Macaca mulatta: one gene and its partner. The protein of the gene in region 1 purifies or fractionates together with the protein of each later gene. This does not show direct contact. Links are inferred from orthologs where the notes say so. Each region holds a gene or a part of one and is shown on either strand. Other genes may lie near its edges.

Region 1 (3,944 bases):
ACCGTTTGCCCCGGAGTGGCCTGCCGGGATCGCGTGTCACCACCCAACCCTGGCGATGATTGGCTATTTTGCCGAGGCCGGAGGCGGAGCCAGCGGCAGAACCGGAAGTACCTGGTACGGCAAGTGCACAGAGTCCGCAGACTGCATGCGCACCCGGGCACCGCGCCGACTTAAAGAGGCCAGTTGCAGCCCCTCCTCTGGCCTGAGGGGACAGACCGTGTTCCTACGTGGAGGGCGGAACCCTCACACTGAGGAGGGCTGGGTCACACTGAGGGGAGGAGTCACCTTGAGAGGAGGGGTCACAATGACTTAGTGGAGTCACTCGGAGGTGGGGTCTCACTGCGTGGGAGGAACACAGAGCAAGGGGGTGCAGCACTGAGGGGTTCTGACACACACTGACGGTGGCAGTGCCACACTGGGGAAAAGTGCTCCCGAAAGGGAGGTGTCTCCGAGAGAAAGCGTTCTTTGAGGGGGTGGGATCTTGCGGAAGGAGGGGCTTCCCTGCAGGTGGTGGCTTCTCTCTTAGAGTCATTTGGACAAAGTAATAAGAGGGAGATCCCGGCTGGGTAGTCACAGGGCGGAGGACCTGGACTCTCTTCTTTATTGGGAGACGGCAGGATGAAGTGAGGAGTCGGAGCTAAGCTGGGTATGGGCCGGTCAAAGGCTCCCTATAGCCCCGAGGTATCACAACCTCCCGTGAAGGTAGAAGGTGTTAGGGAGGCCAGAGGTTCAAGGTGTCGGAGTCGAAGAGACCTGGGAAATGGGCAGGCTGGGCCGCGGCGCAGGCCAGGAAGGTGGACAGGTTGCTGGGCTGCCTCAGATTGCGACTGGGCCTGAGGGGCCTACGTTTCTGCCCCATTGGTCCCTGGAGCCCAAGAATCCGGCAGGTTTCTGAGCCCGACCCACAACGGACAGTCCCAGGGAGGACAGGGGACTCCCTGGGCAGCTAAGCTTCGCATGCGCACCATCAGCCCTTAATTCCCTTTCGTTATTCAAGTTCAGGCCTGAGCTTATTTGACCCGGGCGGCCCAGGGCCTCGCGGCCGGAGAGCGGGGAGGCGGGGGTGCGCACCTGAGGGGGCGTGGCCGCTGCCGGGAGGCCGGGCTGGAAGGAGTTAAGCGGAGGCCCGGCCCAGCCCCGCCCCCGGCAGGCCGCGGAGCCTGAGCCCCGGCGGCTAAGCGGAGCAGCCGCCGCCCGCCCGCCCGCCCGCCCGCCTCCGCCCGCGGCGAGCTAGCCCGCCGGCGCCCGGGAGCGCTGCCGCCACCGTCGCCGCCACCGTCACCGCCACTGCCCGGTCCAGGCCCAAGCCCAGGCCTACGCAGAGCGGAGCGGCGCGGCGTCCACCCGGGCCCAGCTAGCCGGCGCGGCGGGGGCGGGTCCAGGATCTTCGGCTGATCTTCATTCTCAAGGCGGGAGCGGGAGTCCGGGCGCCCAGGATCTGGCTGGGCCCGCGCCCATGGCAAGCGCGGCCTGCCCGGGCCCCGGGGACCCTGCCATGTGAGGCAGGCCCGGGCTGGGGGCCCGGCCATGGCCGGGGAACGGCCCCCACTGCGGGGCCCTGGGCCCGGGCCTGGAGAGGTGCCGGGGGAGGGGCCCCCGGGGCCGGGGGGCGCGGGCGGAGGCCCGGGCCGCGGCCGCCCCTCCTCCTACCGGGCTCTCCGCAGCGCCGTGTCTAGCCTGGCCCGTGTGGACGATTTTCACTGCGCGGAGAAGATCGGGGCCGGCTTCTTCTCTGAGGTCTACAAGGTAGGACCGGCCGAGAGGGCAGAGGGGCGGGACCGAGCCTTCAACCAGAGGCTGCAACTAGGGGGCCGGGAGTGCGGGGAAGAGGGTCCAGACTCGGGCGACCCTCCCGACCTGCCCGACCCTCGCCGGCCGCCCCCGCCCCCAGGTTCGGCACCGACAGTCAGGGCAAGTCATGGTGCTGAAGATGAACAAGCTCCCCAGTAACCGGGGCAACACACTACGAGAAGTGCAACTGATGAACCGGCTCAGGCACCCCAACATCCTAAGGTAAGCGGCCCCAGTCTCTGGGCAGCTTGCTGGGCGGGAGAGAAAAGGAAAGATCCCGCGGGAAACGTGGAACTGAGGAGGAGCTGAGGCCCTTAACAGCCTACCCTTCTATCTTCCCCCTTCTCTGGCAGGTTCATGGGGGTCTGTGTGCACCAGGGACAGCTGCACGCTCTTACAGAGGTGAGGATAGACCAGGAAGGAGGGATCCCCACCCCCCCTTCACCCCCAAGGATAAAGGCAGTGAACAGGCCTGGTGGATCTACGGAGGACTAGTGAGAGGCAACAGGATCTCCTCCCAGGGGAGGCTTTCCTGAACTTCCCTTTAGGCAAACCACGTATAAAAGGCCTCAGCTGGTCTTATTCTCTGTATCCCCTAGAATAGTGCTGTCCAATAGAATTTTCTTCAGTGATGGAAATGTTCTCTATCTGTGCTGTCCTATACAGTAGCCACTAGCCACATGTGGTTAAATTTAAATTATGTTAATTGTTTAGATTTTTTTTGTGGGTCAACTTGATTAAATTTTAAAAATTTTAAATTATTTAAGTTGTTGCACATGGCTAATGGCTACTGAGTTGAACAGGGCAACCCTAGAACATGGATGGAGGGTCCTACAGCACAATCTTACCCCTCTGACCTCTGTGATCCTCCGGAGTGTCCCCTAGCTTATAAGTGGGGGACCTAGAATACAGACTGAAGTCTGACATCCATTCCCATTCTCCTCCTATGCACCAGTATATGAATGGGGGGACCTTGGAACAGCTGCTCAGCTCCCCTGAACCCCTATCCTGGCCTGTCAGGCTCCGCCTGGCCCTGGACATTGCCCGAGGCCTGCGGTACCTGCACTCCAAAGGTGTATTTCACCGGGACCTTACATCCAAGGTAGGCTAGTGGGGTGGGTGGAGGCATGAAAGAGGGTTTGAGACTATTAGGTTGTAACTGTCCTGTGGACATTGGAATGTGGATAACAGATATATTAGGATGTTGGAGTGGCGAGGCATTGGAGAATATTGGGGGACCAGGGTGAGGGGAGTGCTCGGAGGGACTGAATAGCACCCTGTGTTTGGAGTGTTGGGTGATGTTGCGATATTGAAGTGCCTTGAAAAACTGGGAGAGCAGAGAGGGTTGGGGTTATGCTGGAGTGACAGGGCTTTGGGTTATACATTGGGAGGCCAGAGGGCAGAAGGTGATGAGTGCTTGGGGATACTATGTGTGTGTGTGTCAGAACTGTCTAGTCCGACGGGAAGATCGAGGCTTCACCGCTGTCGTGGGTGACTTCGGGCTGGCTGAAAAGATTCCTGTGTATAGGTGAGGTGAATGTCCCTGTTCCCCCCAAATCTCCCAGAGTGCCCCTATCTGATGTCCCCAGAGCCCCAGCGATGTTTCCCTTGGGGAGAGAAGGGAGTTCACCTCATCCCCTTTTCCCTGGGGGAGATGCCTGAGTAGGATGTTTCTGACCACCCTGCCCCTGCCCCTGCAGGGAGGGGGCAAGAAAGGAGCCATTGGCTGTGGTGGGCTCCCCATACTGGATGGCTCCAGAGGTGTTACGGGGTGAGCTGTATGATGAGAAGGTGAGACATCAACCCTTCAGATCCCCAAGGCCTTCCGAGACCCTTGAGGTTTTCTCATAAAGCCCCATCCATCCCCAAAACAACCCTACCAGATCTTCAGGAGTCCCCAAGATCCCTTTGCCCCTCACAGGCACCCTTCCAACACATGAAAACTGTCAAGATCCCCCACCCTCAACCAAATTCAGCTATATTCTGTCAAAATTCTGAAATGAAAACTGTTAATTCTTCCACAACACTGTTATCTCTGACCCCCAGGCTGATGTCTTTGCCTTCGGAATTGTCCTCTGTGAGCTCATCGCCCGAGTACCTGCAGACCCTGACTACCTACCACGCACTGAGGTGAATGTCTCCAGGTTTGCAAA
Region 2 (3,500 bases), about 42 Mb from region 1:
TTATCTCTGTTCTTTTTCTTTTTCTTTTTTTTTTTTTTTTTTTTTTGAGACGGAGTCTCGCTCTGCCGCCCAGGCTGGAGTGCAGTGGCCGGATCTCAGCTCACTGCAAGCTCCGCCTCCCGGGTTCACGCCATTCTCCTGCCTCAGCCTCCCGAGTAGTTGGGACTACAGGCGCCCGCCACCGCGCCCGGCTAGTTTTTTGTGTTTTTTAGTAGAGACGGGGTTTCACCGTGTTAGCCAGGATGGTCTCGATCTCCTGACCTCGTGATCCGCCCGTCTCGGCCTCCCAAAGTGCTGGGATTACAGGCTTGAGCCACCGCGCCCGGCCCTCTTTTTTTTTTTTTTTTTTTTTGAGACAGAGTCTCGCTCCGTCACCCAGGCTGGAGTGCAGTGGTACGATCTTGGCTCACTTGGAGTCCAGTGGTACGATCTGGTACGATCTTGGCTCACTGCCATCTCCGCCTCCCGAGTTCAAGTGATTCTCTTGACTCAGCCTCCCGAGTAGCTGGGATTACAGGCACCCACCGCTGCACCCAGACAGTTTTTGTATTTTTAGTAGAGACGGGGTTTTGCCATGATGGCTAGGCTGGTTTCAAACTCCTGATCTCAGGTGATCCTCCCGCCACGGCGTCCCAAAGTGCTGGGATTACAGGCGTGAGCCACCGTGCCCGGCCTATCTTTTTAGTTTTATTTATTTATTTATTTATTTATTTATTTATTTATTTATTTATTGAGACAGAGTATGTTACTCAGGCTGAGTGCAGTGGCCCCATCTTGGCTCACTGAAACCTCCTCCTCCTGGGTTTAAGCGATTCTCCTGCCTCAGCCTCCTCAGTAACTGGGATTACAGGTGCGTGCCATCATGCCCGGATACTTTTTTAATTTTTAGTAGAGACCAGGTATGTTGGCCAGGCTGTTCTCGAACTCCTGACCTTAAGTGATCCACTTGCCTCAGCCTCCCAAAGCTCTGGGGCACCAGGCCTCATTATCTCTTTTTAAATGCCAATTTTGCTGTGGGAAAAACATACCAGGTAAGAGATATAACAAAGAAGTCTAGAAGTGAAACAGGCTTTCCTTTTTTTTTTTGAGACGGAGTCCCGCTCTGTCCCCCTGGCTGGAGCGCAGTGGCGCGATCTCAGCTCACTGCAAGCTCCGCCTCCCGGGTTCCTGCCATTCTCCTGCCTCAGCCTCCCAAGTAGCTGGGACTACAGGCGCCCGCCACTGCCCCCGGCTAATTTTTTGTATTTTTAGTAGAGACGGGGTTTCACCGTGGCCTCGATCTCCTGACCTTGTGATCTGCCCGCCTCGGCCTCCCAAAGTGCTGGGATTACAGGTGTGAGCCACCGCGCCCAGCAGGCCTTCCTTTTTTAACTTCTGCTTCCTACATTAGGTAATTTGTAGACTGGGATGGCCCTGACCAGCCCCAAGGTGCCCACCAGTCCATACTTGCGTCAAACACGTGCAGGTTCGTGTCCTGCACAGGCTGGGCACCTCTCTCTCCGCCCCCAAAGACATACAGCTGGTTTCCAATGGCTGCGGATGATGTGTGGAATGTTCTTGGGGATGGTGGGGGGCTGGTCACTTCTGGCGTGGTCCACATCCTGGTTTCTGGGCCAGAGAGAATGAAGGCACTTAAAATACCGAGGTTGAGGGGCTTCTGACCTTGACTCTGGGGCTGAGTGAAGTCAGTTTTCAGACTCCAATCCCAAGTGGGGACAGCCTAGTTTTGGGCAGGGATCTCATACTCACAAACATCAAGGAAGAATGAAGATGATACTTAGGATTTGCCAAGACGGTCCAAAATCCCCAAGATTTAAAAGCCGTAAGTACAAGAATGGGGTCAGGCTGGGTGCAGTGGCTCTTGCCTGTAATCCCAGCACTTTGGGAGGCCAGGGCAGGCGGATCACTTGAGGTCAGGAGTTCGAGACCAGCCTGGCCAACATCGGGTGAAACCCCATCTCTACTAAAATTAGCCAGGCATGGTAGTGGGGACCTGTAATCCCAGCACCACAGGAGGTTGAGGCAGGAGAATCGCTTGAACCCAGGAGGCGGCGGTTGCACTGAACTGAGATTGCACCACTGCACTCCAGCCTCGGCAACAGAGCGAGACTCTGTCTCAAAAAAATAAAATAAAATAAAATAACATAAAATAAAATAAAATAGGCCGGGCGCGGTGGCTCACACCTGTAATCCCAGCACTTTGGGAGGCCGAGGCGGGCGGATCACAAGGTCAGGAGATCGAGACCACGGTGAAACCCCGTCTCTACTAAAAATACAAAAAATTAGCCGGGCGCGGTTGTGGGCGCCTGTAGTCCCAGCTACTCGGGAGGCTGAGGCAGGAGAATGGCGTGAACCCGGGAGGCGGAGCTTGCAGTGAGCCGAGATCGCGCCACTGCACTCCAGCCTGGGCGACAGAGCGAGACTCCGTCTCAAAAAAAAAAAAATAAATAAATAAAAATAAAAATAAAATAAAATCACCCTCTTTGACAGAAGCTTTCCAAATTCTCACTGTATTTTATTTCAATGGATACCACTGTTGAAAATCGAAAGGCCAGGGTTCTAGAACTGATTTCCCTTTGCCAAACCTTAACTACACCAACTACCACAATTATTGAGCATTAATTATGTGCCAGATACTGAGTTTATTTAAATCCTTGACAAATTAACAAGGGCAGAAACTGTTATTATCCAACGTGACAGAACACAGAGGCAGAGAGAGATTAAGTCACTTGTCCAAGGACATAGTTAGTGCCTAGCAAAGCAGAGACCCTCATCTGTGCCCTTAACCACCACATCATACTGCTACTCCTCCAAGCAAATTGGCTTCACAATTAGCCAAATGGTCTGCCAAGTGTCTATCTCTTTCTTCTTCTTTTTTGTTTTGAGACGGAGTCTCACTCTGTCACCCAGGCTGGAGTGCAGTGGCGCGATCTCGGCTTACTGCAACCTCCACCTCCCAGGTTCAAGCGATTCTCCTGCCTCAGCCTCCCAAGTAGCTGGGACTACAGGCACCTGCCACCACGCCCAGCTAATTTTTTTTTTTTTTTTTTTGTATTTTTAGTAGAGACGGGGTTTCAGTATGTTGGTCAGGCTGGTCTGGAACTCCTGACCTTGTGATCTGCCCTCCTCATCCTCCCAAAGTGTTGGGATTACAGGCGTGAGCCACCATGCCCCGCCGTGTCTACTCTATTTCTGACAGTGTTCTGTACCCTGAATATTCAACAATAAACAAACTCTTCCCTTCGAAGCACTTATGTTCCATAGAGGGAGGGCAGGGAGGAGGAGGGACGACAGGAAATACATACCCAAACAAATAAATCAAATTGAAAGATAACATACTGTCTAAATATGCTGAAGGAATTTAAATACTTGACATGTAAGAAAATTTGGTCCTAGTTCCTGAACTCTGACCAACTATTGTACAAATAGATTTTTTTTTAATTTTTATTTTTTTATCGGGCAATACTCAACAAATGCATTAGGTGGGCAACACCCCAAAT

What was found.
Region 2: the proteins of TESK1 (region 1) and RABEPK purify together in Homo sapiens (affinity purification with mass spectrometry; 3 studies listed by BioGRID and IntAct, with this or other methods). This does not show direct contact. The link is inferred for Macaca mulatta from reciprocal best matches to the Homo sapiens genes TESK1 and RABEPK.

What each region holds. Positions count from the first base shown.
Region 1 is NC_133420.1:64,090,122-64,094,065, reverse strand, and holds the start of TESK1 (dual specificity testis-specific protein kinase 1), read left to right. Parts: upstream 1-1,144; 5' UTR 1,145-1,357; exon of another isoform or gene 1,358-1,527; coding exon of another isoform or gene 1,528-1,746; intron 1,747-1,891; coding exon of another isoform or gene 1,892-1,918; coding exon 1,919-2,013; intron 2,014-2,144; coding exon 2,145-2,193; intron 2,194-2,746; coding exon 2,747-2,893; intron 2,894-3,236; coding exon 3,237-3,319; intron 3,320-3,491; coding exon 3,492-3,582; intron 3,583-3,837; coding exon 3,838-3,921; intron 3,922-3,944. UniProt on the Homo sapiens protein: Dual specificity protein kinase activity catalyzing autophosphorylation and phosphorylation of exogenous substrates on both serine/threonine and tyrosine residues.
Region 2 is NC_133420.1:22,549,178-22,552,677, forward strand, and holds part of RABEPK (rab9 effector protein with kelch motifs), read right to left. Parts: intron 1,609-3,500; coding exon 1,447-1,608; intron 1-1,446. UniProt on the Homo sapiens protein: Rab9 effector required for endosome to trans-Golgi network (TGN) transport.